Alligator mississippiensis: one gene and its partners. The protein of the gene in region 1 purifies or fractionates together with the protein of each later gene. This does not show direct contact. Links are inferred from orthologs where the notes say so. Each region holds a gene or a part of one and is shown on either strand. Other genes may lie near its edges.

Evidence for each region.
Region 2: the proteins of DDX5 (region 1) and CTNNB1 purify together in Homo sapiens (affinity purification with mass spectrometry; 3 studies listed by BioGRID, with this or other methods). This does not show direct contact. The link is inferred for Alligator mississippiensis from reciprocal best matches to the Homo sapiens genes DDX5 and CTNNB1.
Region 3: the proteins of DDX5 (region 1) and EP300 purify together in Homo sapiens (affinity purification with western blotting; 5 studies listed by BioGRID and IntAct, with this or other methods). This does not show direct contact. The link is inferred for Alligator mississippiensis from reciprocal best matches to the Homo sapiens genes DDX5 and EP300.

The regions. Positions count from the first base shown.
Region 1 is NC_081831.1:6,446,561-6,450,303, forward strand, and holds the start of DDX5 (probable ATP-dependent RNA helicase DDX5), read left to right. Parts: upstream 1-1,146; 5' UTR 1,147-1,252; coding exon 1,253-1,284; intron 1,285-2,206; coding exon 2,207-2,372; intron 2,373-2,628; coding exon 2,629-2,725; intron 2,726-2,824; coding exon 2,825-2,958; intron 2,959-3,139; coding exon 3,140-3,205; intron 3,206-3,639; coding exon 3,640-3,743. UniProt on the Homo sapiens protein: Involved in the alternative regulation of pre-mRNA splicing; its RNA helicase activity is necessary for increasing tau exon 10 inclusion and occurs in a RBM4-dependent manner. Binds to the tau pre-mRNA in the stem-loop region downstream of exon 10.
Region 2 is NC_081828.1:136,001,474-136,005,216, forward strand, and holds the start of CTNNB1 (catenin beta-1), read right to left. Parts: upstream 2,370-3,743; 5' UTR 2,262-2,369; intron 1-2,261. UniProt on the Homo sapiens protein: Key downstream component of the canonical Wnt signaling pathway.
Region 3 is NC_081827.1:97,652,348-97,656,090, forward strand, and holds the start of EP300 (histone acetyltransferase p300), read right to left. Parts: upstream 2,718-3,743; 5' UTR 1,312-2,717; coding exon 1,218-1,311; intron 1-1,217. UniProt on the Homo sapiens protein: Functions as a histone acetyltransferase and regulates transcription via chromatin remodeling. Acetylates all four core histones in nucleosomes. Histone acetylation gives an epigenetic tag for transcriptional activation.

The DNA of each region.
Region 1 (3,743 bases):
TGGGCCACATTAATGCTGTGTGGAGTGACTTGGGACGAAAGTTAGACCCAAATCAATCCACAGTGTTACTACGCAGTAACACATCAGGCATAATAAATTTGATACCAGCATGATGCAGGTAGCAAATTTAGGCTCATGATGGCGTAAGTAGCCATATTTACTGTGCAGTACAAGCATGCACGTGTAGACGCGTGCCCATACTGCGCAGTAAATGTGCACACGTAGATGCGCCCAGGGTGGTTTAATGGGCAGGACACGCTGCCTTGGCTGTTCTGCTGTGGCAAGTTGGCAGTGGGGGCTGCCGCCTCGCAGCAGAGAGTGCGCAGGGCACAAGGGCCCGGAGAGGGGCAGGGGGCACCCGTTGTCTTGTAACATTAACACTTTCTACAAATGCCTCTGCCCCGCAGAGTCGCAGGAGCCCGGCTGCCCAGCACTGCGGGGGTTCCTAGATGTTACAGATTTACTTTTTTTTTTAATGAAATTTTTCATGTTCCCAGCCACATGAAGTCCAAATCCGTGAGTCAGTCCAGAACCGTAAGCGGCCCTGCGCTGGGAAACATCCTCCACCCCCACCAGGGGCTTCAGCTATTTCCAAAGTCTTGCACAGAGCGTCGGGTCCAGCCACCCTGCACTTGCGCAGGTCCTTTCCCAGGGAAGGCTAGTTTCATCCCCGGGGGCTGGGCCGGCTGCGGTTCCTTGTCTGCGAACGGGGGCGATGAAAACGCCGGGCGCGGGGAGGGCGCGCCGCAGCCACCCAGGGAGAGGGTGCAATTGCGAAAGGTGGGGGGGAAATTGTTGCATATAGAAAATCAGCACTGCGCAGGCGCGCTCAGCCGCGCAGGCGCGGAAGGGGAAGGGCGAGAAGCCGCCTGGGGTTCTCGGCACGCGGCCGGCGGGCCGAGCAGTGTGAGGGCAGCGCGAGCCGCGCCCGGATTGGGCGGGGCACTTCCGCCCGCCTGCGCCGCAGCCAACCAGCCAGCGGGCAGGAGCGCGCGCCTATGGGGCGTTGGCCCCGCCCACCGGCAGCGGAGGCCCCGCCCACCGGCAGCGGCTTACATAAAACAGCCGGGCAGGTTCTGCGCTGACGTCACGAGCCGGCTCCCAGCATGCCTCGCGGCGCCGGCTATATAACCGGCATCCGGCCGGCCGGGCGCTCCCCATTCATTGGCCCCCGCCGACACCTCGGGACCTTATTTCTTCTCTGCTAACGTCGCCGCCAACCAGCAAAATCGCTTCCTTCAGCAGCGCCGCCATGCCCGGGTACTCCAGCGACAGGGACCGAGGGTGAGGCCGGGGGGGGGCCCGGCCGGCGCCCGCCACCGGCTCCTGCCCCGCGTGAAATGGCGGCGGCGGGCGGGGGTCGGGGCCCCGCGGCGCCCGCTTCCCTCTCCCCGCCGCTGCCATGAGGGGGTGGATGCGGGGCGCGGGAGGGCCCGGTTCGCGGTGCGGGGCGGGGGGCACGGGCCGGCTGCCTTTGTGCGGCGGGCGGATGCTAATGGCCGGCCCCGCCATGCGGCGGCTGAGGGGAATCAAAATGCCGGCTGCGCTGCCTTTGTTCCTCCTCCTCCTCCTCCTCCCCCGCCCCCGCCCAGCCCGGCTCTAAAATGGCAGCGGCTGGAAAATGTGGCGTAGGCAGAAATGCCAGACAAAGGAAGCGGCGCCGAGGGGGGCACCGCGCCGCCTTGTCCCCTCGCCCAAGCGCCCGCGGAGGCACCGCGCCGGCCGCCGCATTCCCCCCCCCCCCCCCCCCGGTGGTTTGCACGGAGGACCAGGGAGGAAAAAAATAAAAATCCCCCCTGCCTGCAGCGCCCAAGGGACGCGGCTCGGCGCTGCCCGCTCGGCTGACGCAGGAGGGGAGTGTCCCCGCTCTTACGAAAGCCGCCGGGTTTGGCCCTGGTCCAGCCGGCGGTTTATTTATTCGCGTCATCCGTCGGCAAGGAAGGGCTTTCTGGGGGGGGGAGAAACACAAAAAGCTTCGCCGGGCGGCACCTCGCCCGCCTCCGAGAGCGGAGCGGAGCCTCTTGCGCGCGGCTCCCATTTTGAGTCGGATGCGCAGCGATAAAGATGTGCCCGCGTCTCCTGCGCGCCCGCCGGCGGAGCCCGGGGGTCGGGGTAGGCACCGGCACGCGTTTATAAGGGGGGGGGGCTCGTTCCTGCCACGGCTCTTTTGTTTGCTGTCAGTCCTAACCTTGTCTGCGTCTTTCAGGTTTGGAGCCCCTCGGTTTGGTGGGAGTCGAGGCGGCCTCCTCTCCGGGAAGAAATTTGGAAACCCGGGGGAGAAGCTTACCAAAAAGAAATGGAACTTGGATGAACTGCCCAAATTTGAGAAGAATTTTTACCAAGAGCATCCTGATGTAGTTCGGCGTACTGCAGTACGTATTGTGACCATTTTTTTTTTTTAATTATTTTTTTTGGCCGTTTTAAACCTAATCGGCTTCATATTGCAAAGGTTGTACCCACTGGAGCCTGATAGCTTTCCAGTGTACTGACTTGAAACAAGTTACTACAAGCAGCAGCTGGATTTGAATGTAACATGGGGTTTTTTTTTTGTTTTTTTTTATTAAAATAATTGAAACGAAATAAATAATTCAAATAAATAAAATAATTGAACATCTTTTCTTTTAACAGCAAGAGGTTGAACAATACAGAGCAAGCAAAGAAATTACAGTTAAGGGCCATACTTGTCCAAAACCACTCATAAACTTTTACGAAGCTAACTTTCCTGGTAAGTTTAGCCAATTAGTGCCAAGGCATTTGATTCAAAGCTCATTAAATAGAAGCATCAAGTTAATATATGCCCCCCCCCCCTTTTTTTTTTCCCCAGCAAATGTTATGGAGGTAATTCAGAGGCAGAATTTTACTGAACCAACTGCTATTCAAGCCCAGGGATGGCCTGTTGCCTTGAGTGGACTGGATATGGTTGGAGTAGCACAGACTGGATCGGGGAAAACGCTGTCTGTAAGTTTTTTGGGGGGTTCTTTTTGCTGTTTCCTTCTTTTTCGGTTGTTTTTTAATACATTTTAGTGTAATTGTTTAATTTCTTAGTTTTTAATTTATGTAATAGCAGTTAAGCTTGTTTTGGCTTTACAATAAGGGGGGGAGCAGGTTTGAGTAAAAACTGCCTTTTGTTTTTCTACAGTACCTGTTGCCTGCCATAGTGCACATAAATCATCAGCCATTCCTAGAGCGTGGAGATGGACCTATTGTGAGTATAACTTGATATGAAATATCCTTTCATTCTAGGTTGCGTTTTTATATTGAGATGAATAGGGAGGAGTGTTTATACTCTTCTGGACAAAATAATGTCTTATTTTGAGAATAGAGCAGGAGTGCTAGTTCACTCCTAAATCATATGTTCTCTTGTATTGGCTGTAAGAGTCCATACTGGTGGAAAAATTGAAAAATGGGGTAAGTGGTAGCCAAACCAAGGGAACTAAAAGATTTTTTGTGAGAGCCCTACTAAAAAGCAAGTTCTCTAGCTCTTAATTAAACACTTGGGATAGAATTTTTTTTTGGCCACATTCCCCATAACGGAAAATAAAATCTTTCATTACTTCCTTAAATCTTCATTCTCTCTTAAAGATAAAACACGTTTTGTAATCATTGCACAGAGAGCTAATCTAATCTAATTATTTCCAGTGTCTGGTGCTGGCACCAACTCGAGAACTGGCTCAACAGGTGCAGCAAGTAGCTGCTGAGTATAGTAGAGCATGTCGTTTGAAGTCCACATGTATTTATGGGGG
Region 2 (3,743 bases), on another chromosome or scaffold:
CTGGATATACCTAGCTCAATTTTGATTCTGTCAGGGTGTACCACATGCCTAGAACAAATGCATTTTGTATTAAACAATTCAAGCAAGATTGAGTAAATTTAAGTGCCACTTTTCATTTAATAAAAAAGTAATCCTCGTTCAGCAGAAGCAGGTTTGAGAATTCTGCGATGCCAATTAAAGTCTACACCAACCTGCTCCAACATTAGCTTTATCAGGGAACTGCTTAAGGATTTGATTCAGTGCTACAGAACGAACAACAGACTACTGTACTGTACTACAAATCATGGTGATTTGGTTTTGTACTACAGCCCACACTGCTGCAATAATGCTCCATCTAGTTGATGTCATTAGCCCCATCTTATTCATAGCAGCCCCAAACATTAGGGTTTTAGCTCTGAGCCTCTGTGGCATACAACCTACGGTACTGAGGTGGGGGGGGGGGGGGAAGGGGGGTGTTGGGGTTTTTTTTGTGTTTACTTTAAAAAAAAAAAAACTTAACATAAAAAGAACTGGAGAAAAGAGCATCTCATCATGGAGCCTGCATTCATCAAAATGATAATGAACTTAACATCTGCTCACACTATACTATATTAAGCAAGTTTGGTATATTATGCTGACAGTTATCCAAGTAATTATTTCCATCAGCTATGAAAGCCAGACTATATTAATGCTATAAATTAAGTTAATTTTTAAGGGTTGTCACCTTGTTGGTCTCAGGACATCTGCAGACAAGGTTCTTCAAGTAGATGCGAGATCTTTTATTAGACCAACTGAATAGTTGAAAAAAAATTGTTCTTTGCAAGTTTTCAGACATAAGCACCCTTTTTCAGGCATAGGGGGAGTCTCCCCCTATGCCTGAAGAAGGGTGTTTGTGCCCAAAAGATTACATTTTTAAAGGGTTCAGAGAGTGACAGTCTAGCCAACATACCCCCAGAAACAAAGAGCAGGGCGAAAAACCTCACTATATCAATCATAACTAGTAACTCCCTATATTTAACAGCTCGCTGATAGAGAATTAACTTTGTTGTTTTAAATACAAGTCTGAGAACATGGGGGGGGGGAGAAGGCATCTTAGGTTGCAAGCTACATTACTGAAGACCTTTCAATGTCAAAGCAGCAACAAAATCCAAGCAATTTAGAGGCATAGCAAAGGGGGGGGGGGTGTTTTAAGGCACTGTAATTAGACAGACTAAGTTTCAGACACATTGAGCCCACACCTCACCATCCTTTACTACTACAATAATTTTGCTCAGTAGAAACACACGCTTCCCTGAACTAGTGGGTTTGTACAAGTCTGCAGCACAGTTCAATGCAGCCTGGTTTTGAACCTACTTCACTGCAGCTCAACTGCCATACAGATTTTTCTAGTCACATGCCAATACACACACCATTTCCCCCCCTCCCAACTAGACCATCAGGGAGCCAATTAAGTCTGGTTTCTCTTACCAAAGTTTGTTTTACAGAACCTTGATCAAGCAAAAAACCTGCTCAAGGGCAGAGGAAGCTTAAAATAATGAGGAGTGAGGTCATATTCTTCATGTGCTGTTCACAACAGGCAGTTTAATGATGTTTCTAACAAAAAAGTTTTGTTGTGGCCGCCTGTGCTGTCACCACCGTCCTGCTGTTCCCAACCCGAACTATTGTGAACTGCTTCCAAACGCACAACAACTTCAGTTACAGACGCGCCGCCGGTCCCCTGCAGCCTCCCGTCCAGCTCCACACACTGTCTGCAGGGTTTGTTGCCGAAGCGGAGAACAGACCGCCCCACTCGGCTTCTCCACCACACAAAAGTCCGGGGAGCCCCAAGTTGGCTGCAAAGCGGAGCGGGCTCCCGGCACTGCTTCCTCTCTCCCTCTCCTTCCCGCCCCCTCGCCCCGGGGGCCACGGCTTGGGATCCAGGCGGCCCATTCCGGGCGCTGCAGCCCGGCCCCAGCCCCTCCCCTGACTGAGGAGTACTTTCTCAAAACAAACCCGCTTTCCCCAGCGCCCTGCCCTGCCCGCCGGCCGCAGCCCTGCCGGGAGCCCGGCTCGGGTTACAGCGGGGTCAGCGCAGAACAAAGGGCGAGGGAGGCCCCGACCCGGCCCCTTCCCGCGCCCGCCCGGGACCGCACCGGCCCTTTGTACCGAGGGGCGGCGTCCACCCGGGCCCGCGGGCCCCAAAACGGCCGGGACGGAGCTGCTGTCCCCCGCGGGCTCCGCCGCCCCGGTCCGCCTCGCCACAGACGCAGCCCCCCAATCCCGCTCGGGAGCGCGGCACTAACGCTGCAAGCGTGGGGTTCCTCGGCCTCCGGCTGCCGCCGCCGCTCGGGCGATCCCGGCTCCTCTGCTCCCTCCTCCGCCGCCGCCGCCACCGACCTGAGCGAGAAGCTTAAAATGGCGCCGCGCACAAGGCGGCTCTTATAGTGCGCGGATGTATCCATCCGCCGCGCGCAGCGCTCTACAGCCTGGGCGGGGCGCCAGGAAGTAGTGCCCGGCTCTTGACGCGGAGGGACACGGCGGCGCCTCGCGTGGGCCGTGGAGGGGGGGCGGTAGCTGCGGAGGGCGGTGGCAAGCGTGGGGTGGAGGCGGGGCAGGGATCCAGCCCCGAGGGGCGGAGTGATACCTCCGGGCCGGGCCGGGGGCTCAGCCGGTTAGAGGCGGCCTCTCTTAAAGGAGCCGGGCCGACTCTGACAGAGCCCGTCGCGGGGTGGAGGAGCCGTAGGGACACGCCCTGAGGTGCGGGACCCGTCCTGGGAAGCACCCCCAGCCCTTTTCGGCTGCGCGGCTTCACCCTCACACCAGCGGCCGGCACGCGGCCCGCGGCCCGCTTCCTCCCGCGGACACGGCCCCGCCGTGCGAGGCGGAGCTCCGGTCCGGACAGCTCCCTCTGGCGCACAGGCCCGGCCCGGCGGGGCTCCTGGGTAGCGGAGGTCACGTAGGCTGGCAGGGCCGAGGGGCCGGGCGCGGGACAGGGGGCAACGACGGAGGCGCCTCCTTGGCGGCTGAGCCTCTCGTCCTTCTCCCCCTCTCCCGGGGCTTGGGCCCGTGTCCTTGCAGCCCCGCAAGCGCCTGGGCCCGGCGAGGGGCAGGTCAGGGCTGGGGGTTTCGCCCTCTGCCCTGGCTGCTGACCCGCCCCAGCCCAGGCAGCTGCAGGGGGCAAAGCCACGCTCCCTTCTGGACCTGCAAGCCCTTCTGAAATGCAGCCCGTGCTGCAAGCTCCTGGCACAGTAGGCACCAGGATTTTCCCCTGCTTTAAGTGTCCAGTTGCTTAGGACTCAGAGCTGGTGGCAGAGATGATATCTTTCATTAGACCTACTAGATATTTGCAAAAAACAAAAGATTTGCAAGCTTTTGGGCACACTTGCCCTTCCTCAGGCATAGGAGAGTGCAAAGATTGTAAAATTTCTTTTAAGTGAAGATGAGAACTCGCATTTCACAGGAGAGCTGGAGGTGTAAGATCGAGTGTTTTGGCTGAGACAAGAGCTTGGTTCTTTGTCCAGCTCTTTTCCCCCTTCCTGCTTGGGGGCCATCCCGGGTGCCTCGGTTTCACTCTGTGAAATGGGGATAATGCTGCTGACTGACCCACTTTTCACCCCCCGGGATCAAAGATGCGATCCAAGTTCAAAGTGTGGCTGCTGTAGGGTGTTATTGCCAAATTTATGATAAGCGCTTCCATTAGGTATTTGATAACAACAGGAGAATCAGTCAAACACTCTTGATGCATCGCATGGTCCCAGATACCTTTAAGAGCCTCTTTGTGTGCC
Region 3 (3,743 bases), on another chromosome or scaffold:
AAAATTCCACTACCCAGAAAAACCTAAAAGTGAATTTTAAGAAACTTCTGAGAGCAGGTGGCTTGGTCCTTTCATAAAGCAAAATGATCCCCAAAGATCATCTGCTCACCAGAGGTTCATTAAAAAGCAGACACCCCACTGGAAGCTTCAAGAACAGCTCATTCATGTTTGCTGAGGATTGGGACACTTAAAACTTGCATCCTTTAGTGATATTTCTTCTCTGTTGTGACATTTCTACAGAGTAGTCTTCCCCCCCTAAAACACCATCATTAAAAACCCTTGCAAGATTGCAAAGAACACCCTCTTCATCTTCTCTACCTGGTAAATCTAAATGGGAATTTCAGACATTTTGGTCTCAGCAGCAAAGAAATGGGAGATACAGAATGAACTGCGCTCCATATTGATTCTTAATGCAAATAAGGTGAAATAATGCATGTTTGTATGAAGATATAAATGCTCTTGGTGAACCCACATACCCCATAATCTTTATTTTAAATAGAGATTGAGACAGATAAGTTTGGAAATAATCAAAGAAAACAGCAGAATACCTCATCTTTAGAGATCCTTGTGCAAGAGAGAAAAAGTGAAAAGGAACAGTTAAAAAGTCAATAATATAATCAAAGTGAAATGAGGGGGGGAAATTGAGAATGGAAGAGAATTAAACCATTTGCTAAGAAAAATCTGAATGCTATGTAAAAACCTTACATACAAGCCAAAAAAAACAGCCCCTATGGGCTGACCCTGTTTATTTGCATGCGTGCACACACACACAGAAAGACAGTGGAGAGAAATGCAACGAAGATGCTGCATGTGTGTACTATTGCCTATGCCTGCAACTGGAACAGAGATAGAGAATAAAGATCTCTGAAAGAATTACTGCTGCGAAATGAAATGGATGGGGGAAAAAAAAGGGGTAAATTAAGGCTTTTCTGCAAATGGCCAAATGCAGGAGACAACCACCTTACGTTTCTAGCTCTTCCAGTAAATAAAAAGTAACAACAATTATCACCCTCCAGTGATGTTAGCACAGAAGAGATGCAAAGAAAGGGGGTGCAGGGAGGGAATGTAGAGGGAAAGGGAAAGGAAGAGAGTGTAAAGGGGGGGGCGGGCAGGGAAGAAGTAAAACTGAAGGTAAGAGGAAAGGGAGAGAGAAAAAACAGCTCTGGGTATACAGCTGGGGCAGTAAGAGGGTGGGGGCTTGGGCCCCTGAGACTGACCTGTGCCGTCGCTGGCGGACACGGAGAGCGCCGGTGAGGAGAGTTTAGGCCGCTTGGCTGAAGACGGGCCCGGCTCCACCACATTCTCGGCCATTTTTAATTCTTTTTTAGACAAACAGCGCAGGAGGCTGGGGAGGGGGGGAGGGAAGGGGGAACCCCAAGATCGCCCCTTTCTCTCAGGGCCCTGATTCAGCTGAAGAACAACAACACGGAGAGAGAGGCAGGAGGATCTGGAGGAGATGAAAGCAGGGCAAGTTCCCCTTTTTCTGCCCTTCAGGCTCAGTCTCTAGGCGGGTGGCAGCGGAGACGTGGGGCAAATGCAGGCAGCAGGGTGGGGGGGAGAGAAGGGAAGCCTTTCCCCCCAGGCCAAAGGGCAGCTGCGGATGAGAAGAGCAGCTGGGAAAGCCCCGGCCAGCAACAACACTGCCAATTTTTTTTAAAAAAAAGATTAATAACAATAAATCAAATTTAAAAAAAAAAATCAAGCTGCCAGAGGCCGTGTCCGATTAATCCCAGCGGGTGCACTGCTGCTGCTGCTGGTGCTTCTTCACCGCCACCATCATCTTCATCATCCTCCGGGGGGTCTCCTCCTCCTGCTGCTGCCGCTGCCTCTTCACCGCCGCCATCAGCCTCTTCCTCCTCGGCGTCGTCCTCCTCCTCCTCATCGCCACAAGGAGGCGGGCGAAGGAGGGGAGAGAAGGAGGAGGGGGGGAAAAAGAGGAGGAAAGGGAAAAAAAAAAAAAAAAATCACCGTCCTCTAGCAGCGCCTTCCCCCTCCGACGCCGCCCTGCGAAAAAGCCCCGCGGCGGGGCCGGGGAGGGCGGCGCGTGTGCGGGGCGCCCAGCTCCCAGCCGGGCCAGGCACTAATGGCTGCAGCGCGGGGAGGATGAGGAGCGTCCCAGGAGCCTCCGCTTCACATCTTGCTGTGCGGGCGCCGGAGCCGCGGCGGCGCTGGGGGTCCGGCCGGGGCGGCGGCAGGCGTCGCTCGGCGTCTCGGCAGCGCCCCCCCCCGCGCGGGCAGATGGAGCGATCCCCCCGCAGCGGCGGCGGTAGCAGCAGGAGGAGGAGGAGGAAGCAGCCGGCCCCTCCCCCCCTCTGCCTACAGCCCCCCTCTCGAGCGGGCGAGGCCGGGGCTCGGGCGGGCCGGGTTGTCCCCGCGGGGCGCGGGGATGGCGACTCCCGGCCTCCTCCGCCCCTCAGGCGCGGCGCAGCCTCCCTCTCGCCTCCGCCATGGCCGGGGGGTGGGGGGGGCGGCGGGGGGCGGGCGCGGGGCGGGATCCGGGCTGTCCTGCCCGGCTGCCGGCTGCGAGGGGAGGAGGGCGGCTGAGGGGGTCCCGGCGCCTCTCTCTGCGCACTCCCCGCCTCCGTGCGGCTCTGCCCGTGCGGCCGGCGCTGGCCCAGGCTCCGGCTCCCTCCCTCCCTCAGTCGCTCGCACACAAACAAAATGGCGGCTGTTGTTTCTTCGCTCTCCCGAGTCCTCCGAGAGGGAAGCGAGCGGCGGCGGCGGCAGCCGGAAGTGAGCCAAGAGGCGGGGGGGAAGGGGCGGGGCCTGAGGGGTGAGGGGCGGGGCCTGGCGTCGCGGCCGGGCTCGCGCACACAATGGAACGCCGGGGGGTGCGGGGCGGGGGGGTGGTCACGAGGCGCCGACAGCCACTCAGCGCGCGCCGTGCACCGCTCCCTTCCGCAAACTCCCTCCGCCCCGCCCCCCCTTAAAGGGGAAGGAGGAGGAGAGGCCAAAGCCCCTCCTAGCCTCCCTGTGCTCGGCTTTTCTGTTTCTGTCGGCCGAAAAGCGCTGTGGTGCTTGGGGCAGGCCCGTTGTCATGCCGGGGCTGTCAGGCAGGGGGTGGCTGCGCCGCTTGCAGCGGGGCCCCAGAGCCTTGGCACGTAGCAGCCCCCCAGAGCTCCCTTCAGGCTGCGCAGCCCGTTAGTGCGGAGGGGGCGACCTGTACGAGCCAGCAGGGCTGGGCCCGGGCTCCACGCATGGTTCTGCGCACGCAGGGGTGGTCCCAAGCCTGTGGGGGTTTTGGGGTCCGTCTGCACCGCCCCACACACGCTGCGTCGCCCCGTCCTGCTTCCCTGCGGCCTTTGGACGCCAAGCACGGCAGGAGCGGCCAGGCAGAAAGTGCCCTCGCTCGCTGCTCCGGGAGAGGCAGCTTTGCTTACTTGAGATCTCGTGTGGGCTGAGGTGGTTCGAGCTTGGTGCTAATAACGCCAAGGTCCTGGGTTTGTGCCCTGTACGGACGGACGCTCTACGCACCCTTTCCTTTCCTGCCCAAGTGCAGGGGGGCCGGACCCCGTGATCTGTAAGGTCCCTTCCAGCCCCCAACAACTATGCAACTATCAAGTGGGGGCATCTGATTGCCAAGACCTCCGGGTTTGGGCCTGCACGTAGGACGCCTGCCGATGGATGTGGGCGGATCTGAAGTCCCTGGGATGGAGGATGCTCCCGGTTGTAGCGCCATACATGGTGCTGCGAATGATTGAGTTCTGCCTGCTCAGTCCATGCGGGGTTTGGAACGGCTGAGT